3 linked regions of the Tribolium castaneum genome follow. The protein of the gene in region 2 interacts with the protein of the main gene of each other region in a biochemical or structural test. Links are inferred from orthologs where the notes say so. Each region holds a gene or a part of one and is shown on either strand. Other genes may lie near its edges.

Region 1 (4,927 bases), on a different chromosome or scaffold from region 2:
CCATAATTTTAAGGAACCCCATGACGAAGAGAAAGAGCGGTCTGGTAGGCGCAGTATGGTGGTGTTGTTAAAACGACTTAGTAGCATCCCATCACCGTCTGTGGAGACAGGGCATTTGTTGTCAGAGCGCGAAATTCAAGACCAGTTGCGTATTTGCACGAAACTGTACTCTGAAAATGTGAGTTCTGCTTCGTCTTGTCTTTAGTCCGTACGGTGACACGAAAAATGCGTACAGAAAAAAGCCCACAAGAAAAAAACACACGGAATAATGCTCACAAAGAAAAAAGCCCATGTCGAAAAAACCACAGAGAAAGGAACTTAGTATAATCTGTGTTGTAAATTAATAGGTATTGCGTTTTTTTTCTGGGTGGACTTTTTTAATTGTGGGTTTACTTCTGTGTGAATTTTCTCGTATGGGCATTTTTCGTGTGGGCTTATTTCATGATCCATTTCCTACATTTTTGTTCAGAGAATTTCTTCGAGAAACGCCTGGGAGCTGCACATCATCGATGCAATCAGAAAAATCGTCTCCCAAAACCAGGCAAATCTTATGCAAGTTGCTGGCTCTTCCCTGGACGTTGGCTCCAAAATCTACAGTTTGCGCATTGACGACGCCCACAATAAAGCGATCCAACTTGCTAGCAATGTTGGTAAAAGTGACCGAAAACAAGCCCAGGCGGCTGAAGATGACAACGTGACTGAAAACCCGCGTGAAAAAAGGCGACAAGTGCGTAAAAAAGTCCTCAAAATTCTGGCCGATAAAAAAACGATTATTGACGAAGAGGGTAAATCGCTGTTTGGCCCAATCAAGCCGATGGAATCGGTCGTATTTGCTACCAAAGAGAATATCGAAGTTAGCGCAATTGATAATTTGTTAACTTCCAAGGTTCCGGTAAACCCCGCCAGTCACAAATTCATGTTGTTGTGAGTTTATTGGCGCACTTGTATGAGAGTTGGTTTTGTATTTGCGTTTTAGGAGCAATGAAAAGTATTGGACTACGAAACCTGATGATATTTTAAAATACCAAGACCAAGTTGTTGATAATGACTTGCCGCCAGTGTCGTCATTTGACTTATGTGTACGTTTTAAAAATTTTGAAATTGGGACGTGGTCGCCTGAGGATGAAGCCAACTTGTAAGTTTGAATAAGTGGCCGTCAGGGTTTTATTTGTTAATAATTTTCAGACTGGAGGAAACGTTTAACACTGTACCACCGGCCGCCCTGGACGAGAATGGGGTTCCTATTCCAGAGCTCGACGGTTCAATTCCTGACATTTTTGCAGATAATGACGACGCTCCCATGGACGTCGATCCGACCAGCGATACGGAGCAACAAGAAGTGTTTCAGATGCAATTACATGATGGTATTAATCATATAGCTGATGCGGTACCTCAAGAATATCGCATTGAAACCGATTACGGTTACAACGCTCTTGTAAGGGGACAATCGGGAATGTATTTTGATAAAATTTGGGCGGGACCGTGCCATTGGAAAGTTAAATTTATTAAGAAATCGACAGCACGTTATTCGGGAAGTACCGTTCAACAAGTGGTTAAACAAACAAGGAAGAAAAACGAACCGGAACCGATTAATTTTCTAGAACCATTTTTTGATACGACGAAATCATTGAAAAAATTTGTTATAAAAAGAAGGCCTGGCACGACTGATTTTGAAAAGTAAGTAACAGTTAGTTACTACTAAAATAAACAAAATTGGAAAATAAAAGTTAGGCACAATATTTTTTGTTTTTTCCTAACATTTTTTTAAATACAGGGTTACATATCCTGTGCTTGATTGGTGGGTCGACGGTTTCCTAAAAAAGAAAAACTTCTTTTCCTTGAAACCTAACACACTTTTTGCAAAACCAAACACCACCGAGAAGAACCCCGACTTTGAAGTGCCAATCTACAACTATGAGAACCCGAATGATTCGCTTTATTGCTCACTACCTAACGTACGTAAACACCATTCTAAAAACACAACATTTAAATTTTTGTGTAACAGACCGATGACGCAAATGATGGAGCAAGCGATCATTCCTTTGAGGAGGATATGCCACCAGTTGAGCAACAACAATTTTTGGAAGGAAATCTGGTCGATGCCCCCGAAATTGTTTCAGTAAATCATGTCACGTATGCAATGCATGCCAAAAAAATCGACATGAAAAAACTCAAAACCTGTATCTGGAAACACTTAACTGGGGGGCAGCAGGTGGTTAATTTAAAGGTTTTTTTTTGTTTCAGTTAATACTTTTTGTTACAGGAGACTGTAAAACCAACGAGATTCTCCACTGTGTATGAACAGATACCAGTGTTGGCTCCAGAAATGAGCAAGAATTTAAGCCCCCATTTGGGCATTTTGTCTCTGCTGCATCTTTGCAACGACCATAATCTGTGTTTGAAACCAATTGACCATCAGGGAGATTTTATTGTAATGGACGCACAAAATTAAAGTTATTATTCTCTTTCTACTCTTAATTTGTATAATTTGTTAGTTTGTGTAGTTTTATTTTTAAGTACACACAATTTTAAAGTTTTAATCGACTCTCTGTGATCTGTAAAACAATAAATAGTACTAAAAGTATTGCATAATAAATATTTCTAAAAAGACAAAGACAAAAATTGTGAAAAACAATTTTCACGTAAAGAATTCTCATGAGAGTGCATTCTCGCCTTTCGTCTTTCCACACAACAGTGTCACGGGACACCAACATGGCCAAGAAAAAATCCCTTGATATTCCTGTTTACGCTTTTATAACCTCCAATTTGTAGATAAATAACGTTAAAAAATCACAAAAATGTTGGCCGTTCAGGGCATGAACCAGTCTGGGATTCCAGACAAGATGTGGCAGCCCCCATTCGTCGCATTCGAGACGACGTAAGTCTTTAAATTTGATTTTTTCCCAAACTAACCCCTTTTCCACAGAATGGGCGAAATCACAATTGAGCTTTACTGGAAACACGCCCCACAAACGTGTCGAAACTTTGCCGAATTGACCAGGCGAGGTTACTACAACAACACAATTTTCCATCGGGTTATACGCGATTTTATGATACAAGGTGGGGACCCCACGGGGACAGGTAAAGGGGGGCTGTCAATTTACGGACAGACATTTAAGGACGAAATACACCCAGAGTTGAAACACAGCGGGGCTGGAATTTTGTCAATGGCCAATTCGGGCCCTGACACCAACGGGTCACAGTTTTTCATCACTTTGGCGCCTACGCAGTGGTTGGACGGGAAACACGCGATTTTTGGGCGAATTCAGTCAGGAATGAACGTTGTGAAGAGGATAGGGCTAGTGGAGACCGACAAAAATGATAGGCCTGTTGATGAAGTGAAGATAATAAGGGGAAAAGTTATTAAGAACTAAGTGATTTTTATATAATGCGAAAATTAATAAAAAATACGAACTAACAAGAGTTTTATTTCTTTATTTGAATTAGCGCCTGCAGTTAGAAATTAAATTTAAGGAAAACAAAGTCACTAACCTGAACCACCTGTCAATGTCAAAGTCCATATGGCAGTTTGTCAATAAAATGCTTGCAAAATTTAAACTCGCATTTCAAAAGAATTTAAACTAAAAGTAAACGTCTTGTGCCCAATTTCCATTGCAAAATGATTTTTGATGACGACTCATAGGCACTGACAGTAAAATCAAACTTAACACAATTACTCTAGCCTGATATTTATAACAGTCCTTGGAAGTTGGGTAATTCGCGATCAGAACGTAACAAGAGATGGAAAACGGCACTATCCCGGTCCACAAACTAACAAGTAACCCTACCGCGGCGTGGAGGGAAATATCAAAGAACCAAAAAATTATCAAGCTCAATGTCAAGTCTCCCTCAAAACCTGTGGAACCAAATAAAGTACGATTCGTTTGTATGAGCGACACCCACTCCCTTATAAGAAACCTGGTGTTCGACGTACCCGACGGCGATGTGTTCATCCACGCTGGGGATTTTACGAAATGTGGCCAGAAAGAGGAAGTGATGCAGTTTAATAAATGGCTAGGTGGGTTGTGCTGGAAAATTTATCATTCTATTTGCCTACTTCCAGTATCTTTGCCCCACAAACACAAGATTGTAATCAGCGGCAATCACGAATTGAGTTTCGATAAAAAATTCTCTGATTATTTCAAAAAAACGGCGAGTGCAAGACACACCGGATCACTCGAAGATGAAGTCCCCAATTATGGCAATACGAAAGATAACATCAGTGATGCAGTCAATACTGATAACATCAGGCAGTATTTAACAAATTGCACGTATTTGGAAGATTCGGGGATTGATATTTATGGCATAAAACTGTACGGAACTCCTTGGTAATTTCACGGAATTTACGTAAAACAATAAAATTTGTGTAAATTATTACAGGCAACCTGAATTCGGTGGCTGGGCTTTTAATTTAGAGAGGGGTGAAGAGTGTCTTTCCAAGTGGAATTTGATTCCAAACGATACGGACGTTTTAATAACTCATACGCCGCCTCTGGGGTTTGGCGATTTGGTCTGTTCGGGGGTTAGAGCTGGATGCGTAGAGTTGTTAACGACGGTCCAACAAAGGGTCAAACCCAAATATCACGTTTTCGGACACATACATGAAGGCAAGTTAGTTTACACTCAATCTGTATTTCAACCAATTTGAACATTTATCTAAATTCCAACCTACTTGAAAGTTCAATGTTTGTTTATTGTTCTGCTGTAGAGGTGGATTAAGCGCCTGGCTAATTTCCAAAACTCGATAAGTTTAAGTTAGAAACAACTACAACAGAGAACGTGAATGATAATTGTAGTAGACTTCTAAATTTTGCCGTTCGTCAAAAACTAAAGTGTTAGAATATCCTCCCAGAAAATTGTTATTCCATAACAGTCGTAGGAAGTGTTTCGACGTTTCGATTTTTTAATAAAACTTTGTCAAGGTTTT
Region 2 (5,339 bases):
TAAAGTTACATTGTAAACGCTATTTCGGATCAGGTTACATTTATTTTATTTATTTATTTAATATTTTTTTGAAAACATAGTTACCAATGTCATTTTGAACAACACACACAAAAAGTAAAAGATTGTATTTATTACTTTTAGGATAGAGCAACTAAAAATTTTTCTGGTGGATGGAGAATGAGAGTGTCACTAGCCAGAGCGTTGTATATAGAACCCACTTTATTACTTCTTGATGAACCAACGAATCATTTAGATTTGAATGCAGTTATTTGGTTGGATAAGTACGTTTTATTTTGGTTTAATTTTTTGTGAAAAAGTTATTATGATTTTGCTTTCAGTTATTTGCAAGGGTGGAAAAAAACTCTACTTATCGTTTCACACGACCAGTCATTCTTAGATAATGTTTGTAATGAAATTATCCATTTAGATAATCAAAAGTTGTATTATTACAAAGGGAATTACTCAATGTTTAAAAAAATGTACCAACAAAAACGCAAAGAAATGATTAAAGAATACGAGAAGCAGGAAAAACGTTTGAAAGAGTTAAAGGCACACGGATCGTCGAAAAAACAAGCCGAAAAGAAACAAAAAGAGGCTTTGACGCGAAAACAGGAGAAGAACAGAACGAAAATGCAGAAACAAGAGGACGAAACAGCCCCAACTGAACTTCTACAAAAACCGAAAGAATATTTCGTCAAATTTTCATTTCCGGAACCTCCGCCTCTACAACCCCCAATTTTGGGGCTTCATAGTACGTTCTAAGTCATAAAATATGGCATAAAATAAAAAAAAATATTTCAGACGTAACTTTTGCATATTCGGGCCAAAAACCCCTCTTCCGAAACACCGACTTCGGTATCGATATGAGCAGCAGAGTGGCAATAGTTGGTCCGAACGGAGTCGGAAAATCCACATTTTTGAAATTATTAACCGGTGATTTGGACCCGCAACAAGGGGAAGTCCGGAAAAATCATCGTTTGGTAATTTTTGTGATTAATTTTTCGATTTGTGATTTTTTTTTTAGAGGATTGGTCGTTTTGATCAACATTCAGGTGAGCATTTAACGGCCGAAGAAACACCCGCTGAATATCTGATGCGATTGTTTGATCTGCCGTACGAAAAATCCCGAAAGCAATTGGGGACTTTTGGTCTAGCGAGTCATGCTCACACTATCAAAATGAAGGACTTGTCCGGGGGACAGAAAGCACGAGTGGCTTTAGCCGAATTGTGTCTTAACGCACCGGATGTTCTCATTTTGGATGAACCGACGAATAATTTAGATATTGAATCGATTGATGCACTAGCTGAGGCCATTAACGACTTCAGTGGAGGGGTTATTATAGTGAGCCACGACGAACGACTTATACGGTAAGAGCAAATAAATGTACTCTTTCTTTTCTTTTTTCGCCTCCCTTTATAGAAATTTTATATTTTTCGTCCTAATTTCAGGCTGCGAAGTATGCGTTTACCAGCACTATTAGAAGTGAATTTAATTTTTAATTTGCATTAGCTACTTAATTTGTTCGTTAATTTAAATTAAGATGAAATTCCATCGAGTTTTTGTAACAATTTCGGCTCGACCATAAAACTCAATTTTATTGTTTTGTGTAAAAAAAAATTACTAATTTTGTTACAGTGAAACTGATTGCGCCTTGTACGTAATAGAAGACCAGACCATAAACGAATTAGACGGCGACTTCGACGACTACCGCAAAGAGCTCTTGGAGAGTCTGGGTGAAGTCATCAACAGCCCAAGTATTGCAGCAAACGCTGCCATTGCTCAATAATACAACAAAAAATTTCTACAATTGTATTTATTTAAAAAACCCAAATACAATCAATATTTTAATCTCTTCTCTTTCGCTTATCCCTCTCATCCCTCCTCTCCGGTTCCTTGCGTTTGCTCGCCCGTTTAGCCTGACTCAAGAACTGATCTAACCCGAACGGATCTTCCTCTTTCTCAAATTGTACAGGTCCAGACCTTGGCGCATTCCGATCAGTTCCACTAAACTCCTTATCCGGAACAAATCGGTTCGTTTTGACGATTTTCTCCAAATCTTCACCGTATACCTCCTTATCCACATTCCTACTAGGTCTGTACAAGTGATTGGCCATTGAGCCCCCCTCCCTCCACGGCTTATCATAAACATTATACGCGTCATCGTCCCCATATCCATGCCCCAAACCTTGAGCCTGTCCGAATAATCTCTGATCAAACTGCACCTCGTTTGAGGAGACTCCTCTGGCAGGCATCCCCAAAGCAATCTGCTCGGAAATATCTCGCTCTCGCTCCCTCTTCAACTTTGAACGCTTATCGGGAGCAGCCCTTGCCAAGTTTCTCTCTCTTGCTCGCTCCTTATGCCGGTCCTGTCTCAGCATTTCTCTCTCACGTTCCTCCTCATCTGTGATTTTAGCATCAGCGACTTTGATCCCAGCACGTTCATCTCGAGCTTTTTGAGCCAACTGTCTCAAATGCTCCTCCTTTTGTTCCTTTTCCTTCTGAGCTAGTTTTTTCTCGAGTTGGGCGCGTGTTTCCACAGCCTCTCGTGCTTTTCTATCGGCAATATATAGAGCCTCAGCCAACTTTGCGAAATTCTCGTTGATGTGCAACTGTTGCAACCCCCGACCATCTGCAGCTAAACGCTTATCTAACGGAACTGTGTAACCCTTTGCATTTTTCCAATTTGAAATACAGGGCGGGATTTTCCACTCCTTTTGCTCCTTAACAGTGACACGACGTGTGGGGCTGTGCAAAACGGGCGCTGGGGGCGAAGGGGGCCCCCTTGGGATCTTCTTATTGATCTTGAAACGTGGGGGCTCCATTGGATCAACTTGTGCTTCGACCAAACGAATGACGCGCTGTTTGGCACCCGAGTTGAAGGCGGCCCCTTGTTGTGAAGGGGTGTAACGAATAAATTCAGCGGGGCCTTGTTTTTCGGCACATCTGACTGGCATTGCAGCTGCGATTTTTGAATTTGTTAGGCGTTGTAATGCTTGACGGGTTTTTTCTGTGATATCTTCGATTTCCTCCTGAGATGGTTTAGCAAGACTTGGGTCATTTTCTGTGGTTACTTCAACTGGTAACAAATCGGAGAGTTTTGAATAGACGATTTTGTCTTTGCCGTGGCCTTGACGTGCGATTACGTCGTATTTGACTTTGCCTTCTGCGTCCAATTGGACGGCCAAGGCGTTTGAAGTTGATTCTTTGCCCTTTCGCCCCATGTCAAGAGGGTACTGGGCCACGTGGATTTCGGGAAATGCGCCTCCATCTATAAATTGCAATAAAATCAGTGATAGTGAAAACTTTTCGACGTCCTTGACTGATTATTTGTAATAAAATTTAATAGGACCAATCAAAAAAGTTGGTCCCATCGTAGTTAAATTTAATTACAAAAAATCGGTGGCTAATTACCTCCATAGTCGGTGTGGACTCGTGGGACCCAACCCCTTCTTTGTCCATACGGTGGGGCAATGCTTTGGGCTGTTACAACAGATGTGGAACGTTGAGTTGTGGCATTCTGTTGCCGTCTCTCGTCGTCCCGATCCCATACGGGTTGTATGGGGGCGGGCAATAAACTACAAAATAAATGCGTCTTACTCTACAAGCCCAAAAGTGAGGTTAGGTTACCTGGATAATTCCATTTCTTTTCCTAAATCAGCAAAAACTTGACAATAGCGTAAAATATTCACACTGCACTCATTAATGTAAGTTTTTATTGTTTTACTTCACTAGTAAATCGGAAAATATGTAAAAATCGATTGCACAACAGTGGCTTTCGGGAAAACAATTTCCGCAAAATCTTGATATTATATTATCGCTGTGCGATATTCAAAGCAATTTGTACTTAAAAAACGCAACTAAGTAATGGATTATTGTGTGTAATTCTGTTTTATAAATACACCCAAATTAACGCCACTACTAAAACGTCAAATAGACGGAATGATTTGTAGAGGGCGCGGTTGAGCATAGATTGTTTGTTCCGAAGTTCTATAAGTTCGAAAATACAGACTGATCCAGAAATACTGAGTCTGTTGGCAACACATTTGAAAGTGTTTGTGCTTGTAATTTGTAACATTGCAACCGAATTCGATTTTTCTTGACAACTATTTGACGTACAACCCCACAAGAATGTTAAATTGTTGTTAACTGGAAGCGTATTCCATTAGTATCCTTAAAAATTTAAGTCCAGTGTCGCCAACAGACTCAGTATTTCTGGATCAGTCTGTATTTTTAACGTGAGGGTATCCCCAAAAAAAAAGATGCACAACCACTCACAGACTTTTAGCTACTAGTTACTTCAACAAGCAGACCCTTTACTTACGTAGAATAAACAAAAAACAATAAATTTTTTAATATTTTTCCAAAAATTTAGAAAAACATTCATGTATCGTGCGGTTGCCATTGATAATTGGCAATAATTGGTGGTGTTTGTGAACTTCTAATTTTGAAAATGTACTTCTCCAACATATAAATAAGTGCCTTAGAGCACTAAAGTGAAATTTGAATTTTGGAACTAACACCATAACACACTGTAATTTTTAACCGCTGTAGAACTGTGTCTAGCACTAAATTGAACTAAAAACACTAAAACATATTCAACCGAAGGCTGTTTACTATTGAAATTCGCGCTTTTTTGGTGTTGGTACTTCTGTTACACTGTTACGTTGGTAGTGCTGCAATATCGGCGCGCCTTTTAGCACCTGTCATGTTTTGTAGTTTAGCATTATTTTTGTTTAACGCTGTTTTAGTGTTTAGTTTGTGTATTAGTAAGGATTTATGGTGTTAGTGGGTTTGTTTCTCGTTATTTAAAGACAATCTTATTCAGAGGAGGAACATTTGCAGGAATATTTCCACCCTTCTTTGGTAAGTGCACATTTTAGTTGAGTATTAATTATAGCTTTAATTTAAACATTTTGACGCTTCAAAAGGTGAAATAAAGCATTCTTATGCAGAAATTGTAAGGTGCGGTACTAATTTTAGTAACGTTTTTTGACTAACTATTCAGTACTCAGAGAAAGAAAATTAGTCTTAGCACAGACAGTACACGGTGTCTGTTTGCTCCATAATAACAAAAAAAAGGAACAATCGATGAAATAGTGTTTATTGTAGCAACTTAATATAGATATCACAATAATTTAATTTGATCATGAAAAAATTATTCCAACTTAAAAATATACTCCATTACTTCGGCCATGTACGGGTTTTCCCCCAACTTATCAACTTCATCTTGGGCCTCTTGCTTCAGTTCTGCCAACACTTTCTTCGTGTAATCAAAACTTCCGTATTTCTCAAGCAACGAAACGCAGTATTTCTTTACTTCATTGTCTTTAGTTCTTTG
Region 3 (6,552 bases), on a different chromosome or scaffold from region 2:
CGTCAGAGACTCCTTGCGAAACCTCCCTTAGCTATAACTTGGGCGACCTTGTGACCCCCTATATCTCCCTCACTTACATGAGCAAACAGAAGTTTAAGAATCAAATGAGATGAGAATTCCCACCTCAATTGTGGGAATGGGACCGACTAATTAATATACAGTAGGAAAAGCAATTATTAAAAATAATACCATTGTTAAGACCCGAATTCCCACATGTATGAATAATCATTTTCAAGAAAATGAGATTTTGTCGTGAGAACTGACTTGAATGGATGTGAAAATGCGGAAGGCCTTCCGTACTCACTGTGATTTTTTTTCTGTTAGGGGTTTGAAGAATGGTGATATTATTCAAATAGTTTTTATTTCTACAAAATATGCAGCATGTACAGTTTGTTTATGTATTATTTTACGTAGAATAAAACTAATTCTAATAAAGATATTTACACTCATTACATTTGCCATAAATTCGTTGTTGTCATGTTTTCCTGTCGAGATTTTTTATTACCTATTATTTATTATTCATCGGCAAATTGAGCATAATTTACTTAATACTAAGTAAAAATTGTTGGACTATTCATTCTGACTGACAATTAGAAAACTTACATAACTTTGGTTTGTTCATAAGGCTAAGTATCTCTTTACACCGCTGTAGAAACACATCCTACAAGTCTTAGGCCGGTCAACTGCATCAATTAAAAAATAAGGAAAAATTGATACCAACTTTTGCTTCTCTACGACCGCCTACTCAAAAAACATATCACAATAAATCATAATACAGAAGACTCGTGCCACTTCCAATCTCAAAATTTAATACTGAGTGTCCACTCGAGAAAAAACACAATGGTCGTTGTACACCCTACCTAACTTTATTGCATCTACCTACCCACCCCCTAATGCATCCCTCCGTGCGAGTTCCACGCCGCCTCCTGCGTCAGCGCCTGGCTCTGCCCCTGCGCCGCCGCCGCGCTCCTCTGCCCATGCCTCATGATCTCGTCCGCAGGCAAACACTGCGGTCGGGGCCCCGGCTCCGGCGTATACGTGAACGTCAACCCCGTGGCATAGATAATCCCGTCGTTCCGCACCAAGGAGACCGGGACCTGGGTCGGCTGCCGCACCCACAGCCACTCGCCCCGGAACTGCGAGATGTCCGGGACCACGCACAGCATGGACTCCTGGCACCGGTACATGGTCTCGGCCTCCACGTCCCCGAACCACACCTGCAGGGACGGCGAGAAGTTGTCGCCCGTGAGCTCCAGCATCGCCACTTCGCCGCCGCCGTTCAAGTGCAGGCTGTGCACGATGGGCACGGGGGTCACGGGGGAGCGCACGGGGCCCATGCCCTCGTAGAACTGGTACTCGGCCTTGTCGGTGGAGATGATGGTCCAGCAGGCGCCGTCGTTGATCATCTCCTTGTTGGGCTCTTTGGGGCAAGGGGTGGCCTGGAACTGGATGATGCGCTCTTGGGAGAGGCAGAGGTACATGCGTTCGGTGTCTTTCATGTAAAAGGCGCATTTGTGCAGCTGGGACACGGGGTCGTCGGCTTCGAGGAGCGCCTGCTGCTTGTCCACCTGGACCAAAACAACAAACGCTTTACAAAATTGAACCAAAAAACACAAACTACGAAACAAAAAAAGACGCCACAAAGAGAAGAGAACAATTATATTACAATACGTTAAAAATTTGCAATACGATGACCTGTACAAACGTAAAAAAGTGGAAAATAAAAAAAATACCGTCAGGAATTATAGGAAGTTTCAATCACAATTTTTTCAATTAATACTTGACCAAGTAAAGATAAATCGTAACTGGAGAACTGTCAAATTATACACAACTTAAATAATTCTAATAATAATGTAGCTGTATTTCAACGGGTTCCTTAAAGTGTAAGTAAGATAAAGAATAAATACAAGGTGTCTCAAAATCGGCGGATTCCAAGTCCTGCAGAGCGTAGTAGAGAATCACCAAATGTAGAAACAAAATAAAGATTTGGGGCTTCTTCTGACATTTTGGCGAGAAATTAGCTTTCTTTCTTTACGATATTTTCTGATGAGGTCGGTGAAAAAGAGTATTAAGAGTTTATTCGTAATTAGCGTAGGAAGACTAGGGAGAAATCTGATGTTGTCGAGAGGCATGTTATGCTTTTTAAAGGCATTAAAAATGATATGCGGACGAAATTATGACAAAAAAAAAAATCTTGAACATCCAGCATAAGAAAGTCAATGACGTGGTGAAATATTTAATTATTATTATGAGTATTAAGAAAGCACATTTGTAATTTTAATGGCTGAAAAAACATAATATTTTGTGTTTCTTGAAAATTACAATAGTTTGTATTATTTTAGTAGGTTTTTCTTTCCCCAAAATAGGCTTCGAATCGCCCGCGTGAGCGGCGAGTTTTGATAGGATGGGAACCGACATGTGTTCTCAAATGGGCCAATCACGGGCTGGGTCAACATTTGTATCGAAATATCGAATTTTGTGCAATGAATCATCTGGAAAATCATTATTTTGTCTGAATTCGGTCATGGTATGGCCGTAACTGCTTGCAGGGAGCGTTCCTTTGCGTAATTATGGGGAATATAAAGATTGACATGTTGCCGAATCATAACCTCAATTTTTTGTTGATGTTTTTTTCAAACGTACCTTTCGAATGATAAGTCTCGGGAGGGCCATTCCGGTGACAGAACACACCAGTTTGACTGTAGAACCGTAATGAATGTACCCATCCCGTACTTGAAACTCCTCACTTTCAGATTCATTGTCGTCTAACAAGTGTATAGTGAAAGCACCCCACTGTGTGGAACTGGCATGAAAATGTCCATTTTCCACGTGCAGATACCGCGTGGAGACAGTCTGAGATCTAAGTCTGTTAAAAAGCGCCACTTTGGTACCACTCGCAATACACAAATCCGCGTTTTTCAACGATTGTTTCTTCTTTGAAGGCTTCGAGATAACTTTGATTCTTTTGCTATGAAACACCCCGATGTCGTGCCCCGACCCGTAGAACATCTTCACGGACAACATAAAGTGTTTCCTCTTGTCCGAATCGGAGATGTAGAGAGTTTTCGCGGCACAATACTGCTTCCCATTATTCAAATCCAGCTGCTGCATGTCCTGGTCCGAGTTCCCAATCCCTATGAAAGCGCATAACTGCGAGGCCTGCTCGGACTCGCCCTCCCGCAGCATCTGCTCCTGGCGCAGCCTCCAGCCGTCCCCGAACAGATAAATGCAAGGGGGCGGACAGAAAAACCTCTTCTCATTCCCGTAGGACTTCTGCGCCACCTTGGCGTGCAAAATCACGATGACCATGTCGGACCGGTCCCGCAGATACCGCTCCATGGCCTCCCGGGTCAGCCGCCGGTCCTCGCCGCGGTAGCCCCCGGGCACCACCGCCCCCGAGAACCGCGAGTACATGGCCCCGTGCTGCGGCGGCGGCGTCGGGGGCGACTGAGCGTGGGCTATGCCCGGCAATCCGTACTGATGGGGCATTTCGAAACACTTAATCAAGTAGGCCGCATCGCACTGGCGTTTGTTTTATCGATGCACTCACAGCCAACTCTTCGCACGGCTACCGCAACACACGGTGAGAACAAATGCCATGCTTCCCCCTCCTTTGCCCCCCGTATCTCATTCGAAAAACACCTGTTTGGAGAGAGGATTTTCCGACAGGATGGCCAACTTTCAAAAGGCGAGTTTTCACAGGAAGTGCCCGAATTAACGCGTTCTTGGAATTTTTTAACGCTCAAGAGGGCCCAAGATGGGCTGATGGGTCTGCATGGGCCATGGGCGGGGCGGGCGGGGCGGGCGCGGCGGTCGCTGAAAATTATGTAATTTTGGTAGCGTTAAGGCGGGTTTACACCTAACACGCGTAAAACGGTAGTGGATGACACAACAGGGGCGGAGGCGAGACGCCACTGGAGGATTAATCCTAGTGAGGGATTTTCTACCTTGATACCTAATCTAATTGATCTAATTAGGTGCCAATTATTATTATAAATAATGTTTATTTCTAAAAAGAAGAAAACTAAAAAGTTCTAACAAAGATAGCAGTATTAGGAAGTTCGCGGCGCCGCTGCCTGACAAAAGAATGTGGTGGTTTTATTGGCGTTTGGGCGCACGCCACTGGCCGCGTGTTTATGAATGGGTCCCCTCCCTTGTGAAGGTGCCTTTAGCGCCGCCCCCCTGCCCTCCCGCAGGATGTTGGGGTTACAGCCAGGGCGTGGGAAAATCATGGTGTGGGAAAGAGTGGGTGGCCTCGGCGATTCTCAAACATTTGATACTGAGAGATGTAATTCAGACCGCTGGACGAGATTAGGTCTGTTTTCCTCTGATTTGATGATTCTTCGCATCTAAATCATGGGAACTGACTGACGTTCGTGTCGCGGTCGTTCATCGCCGCCTCAGACCGTGGGAATTTTTTCCATCAGACGCCTCGAATTATTTACCAGAAAATATATTATGGGAGTTCACGGTCTGTGGAGGCTCATCGAGCCTTCCGGCAAACCCGTGCCTCTGGAATCTCTCGAAAACAAAGTGTTAGCTGTCGGTATCCTTTATTGACATTTCAAACGTCACGCTTGATCGGTTATAACCTTAACGCAATCTGACAGATGTCTCGATTTGGTTGCACCAAATCGTCAAGGGGTTCCAGGACGCCAAGGGGGCCGCCGTCCCCCATGCGCACCTGCTGGGGATCTACCACAGAGTATGCAAATTACTCTATTTCAGAATCAAGCCGGTGTTTGTCTTCGACGGAGGCGTCCCAGTTCTCAAAAGACAAACCATAGTGAGTAAAATAATGAGAAAAAAACATAACCTCAGTTGCATTTTCCCGCAAATTCCCAGGCGTTACGCAACCAGCAAAAGTCCAAAACCTTGTCCGAGGCGGACCGCATCCACAAAAACCTCCTATCAGCCTTAGTCAAACACACCGCGATTAGCAAAGTCTTGTCCGAAAAAGCCAAAGCGGCAATAACCGCCTCAACTTCTCCCACTAAAAAATCAAAACAAGACGATGACGAGCTTTACGCCTTGCCCCCGTCCCAGTCTCTCGACTCCACATTGTCACAAAGTGACTCGGATTCGGAAGACTCGGGGCTTCCCCGATACGACTTGCATTCAATTGACACGGAAAGTGCCGAATTCAAGTCGCTACCGGCCGACGTCCGGCACGAAATCCTCTCCGACTTGAAGGACACACGGAAGCAGTCTTCATGGGGGCGCATCCACGAAATGCCCACTCAAAGTGACAACTTCTCCACCTATCAAATGAAACGACTCTTGAAGAGGCAGTCGGTGCAAACCGCCCTTGAAGACGTCGAAAAAGAAATGGGGGGCCATTCTCTATCGCTGGGCGAGCTGGAAAAATTGCTCAAAGACCAGGGGGTTATAACGAACTTGAAAGGCAGTCGGATCGCTTCGGACGAAAACACGCGGTTTCTTTTAATCAAAGACATCAAGCAGGCCGTGGAGGAGGCCAAAAAGCAGGATTTACCAACGATTGAAGAAAGCGAAGAATGCGACGAGGGACAGAATGTGAAGAATAAAGGGGAGCAAGAATTTGAAGACGATTTGAAGAAGGCCATAGCCTTGTCTTTGGAGGCGGAACCGTCGACATCAAAAACGAAAGACAATCGGGAGGAACCGTCCAGTTCTAGGGGGAAGAAACGATTGTCGTTATCGTTTCTTGAAGATGCTGATTTTGGAAATTCGGACTCCAGTGAAGAAGAAGAAGTAATTCGTACGAAGTTAACACCAGCTCAGAGATACATGATGGAGTACAGTGGGCTGACTCCCAGCGAAATTGCCAAAATTATTGCCAGTAAAAGTGGAGCAATGAAGAAAGTCAGTGAAGAGAGTAGTTCTGGTGTTTCTAGTAGCATTATTAAAGAACCTGAAGAAAGGAAAGAAGAAACAGATAAAGCCAGTAGTAGTTCTGATATTTCTAGTAGCATTGCTAAGGAACCTGAAGAAAGCAAAGAGGAAGCAGATAAAACTGGTAGTAGTTCTGATATTACTAAGGATAATGAAGAAATAACAGAAGAAACAGACAAGACTGGAAGTACAAATGTTTGTAGTGAAATTACCAAAGACAGTATTGAAGATATTGCGGAATTAGATGAAGATAAAGTTACCACTTCTATCGTCAGTGAAGATACAGTTGAGGTGATGTCAGATTCTGCCTCTAGCAACGATGAGGACTTTGTAGATGTAGATGAAGAAAAGGAGAAGAAAAGTACCAACGGAGAGATTGCTATGGAGGTCGTGATAAAGCCAGATGAAGAAATTGAAGACGATCTCTTCAAGGACGTATTTGAGGAAGTTGAAGAGAAAACGGAGGTTTCAAGTAGTACTGAAGATGCTTTTAAAGAAGTGGAGAAAGAAAAACCAATTGAAGAGAGACCGTCAGGTCAGTCACTCAAAGATAAGATCGAGAAGATGGTCCAAGCATATACGAAACCTCATGAAGAAAATGAAGAAAACAAAGCGAATACTGAATTAACAGTTGAGCAACTGAGCGAAATGAGAGACAATTTAAGAAAGGAACAAACA

The links.
Region 1: the proteins of Bx42 (region 2) and Cypl form a complex in vitro, tested with the Homo sapiens proteins (2 studies listed by IntAct, with this or other methods). The link is inferred for Tribolium castaneum from reciprocal best matches to the Homo sapiens genes SNW1 and PPIL1.
Region 3: the proteins of Bx42 (region 2) and Su(H) form a complex in vitro, tested with the Homo sapiens proteins (2 studies listed by BioGRID). The link is inferred for Tribolium castaneum from reciprocal best matches to the Homo sapiens genes SNW1 and RBPJ.

The regions. Positions count from the first base shown.
Region 1 is NC_087394.1:31,301,409-31,306,335, reverse strand, and holds Cypl (uncharacterized protein Cypl), read left to right. Parts: upstream 1-2,693; 5' UTR 2,694-2,798; coding exon 2,799-2,878; intron 2,879-2,926; coding exon 2,927-3,374; 3' UTR 3,375-3,421; downstream 3,422-4,927. Other genes in the region: condensin complex subunit 2, read left to right, coding at 14-178, 470-924, 977-1,135, 1,186-1,677, 1,775-1,955, 2,006-2,212, 2,264-2,452; metallophosphoesterase domain-containing protein 1, read left to right, coding at 3,742-4,018, 4,064-4,328, 4,381-4,607. UniProt on the Homo sapiens protein: Involved in pre-mRNA splicing as component of the spliceosome. PPIases accelerate the folding of proteins. Catalyzes the cis-trans isomerization of proline imidic peptide bonds in oligopeptides. Catalyzes prolyl peptide bond isomerization in CDC40/PRP17.
Region 2 is NC_087397.1:9,847,511-9,852,849, forward strand, and holds Bx42 (puff-specific protein Bx42), read right to left. Parts: upstream 3,951-5,339; 5' UTR 3,643-3,950; coding exon 3,629-3,642; intron 3,577-3,628; coding exon 3,413-3,576; intron 3,270-3,412; coding exon 1,846-3,269; 3' UTR 1,798-1,845; downstream 1-1,797. Other genes in the region: ATP-binding cassette sub-family F member 1, read left to right, coding at 142-281, 339-751, 802-980, 1,025-1,368, 1,637-1,787; qm (terpene synthase), read right to left, coding at 5,157-5,339. UniProt on the Homo sapiens protein: Involved in pre-mRNA splicing as component of the spliceosome. As a component of the minor spliceosome, involved in the splicing of U12-type introns in pre-mRNAs.
Region 3 is NC_087398.1:4,883,053-4,889,604, forward strand, and holds Su(H) (suppressor of hairless protein), read right to left. Parts: upstream 3,807-6,552; 5' UTR 3,490-3,806; coding exon 2,644-3,489; intron 1,569-2,643; coding exon 891-1,568; 3' UTR 343-890; downstream 1-342. Other genes in the region: DNA excision repair protein ERCC-5 homolog, read left to right, coding at 4,459-4,546, 4,611-4,786, 4,846-6,552. UniProt on the Homo sapiens protein: Transcriptional regulator that plays a central role in Notch signaling, a signaling pathway involved in cell-cell communication that regulates a broad spectrum of cell-fate determinations.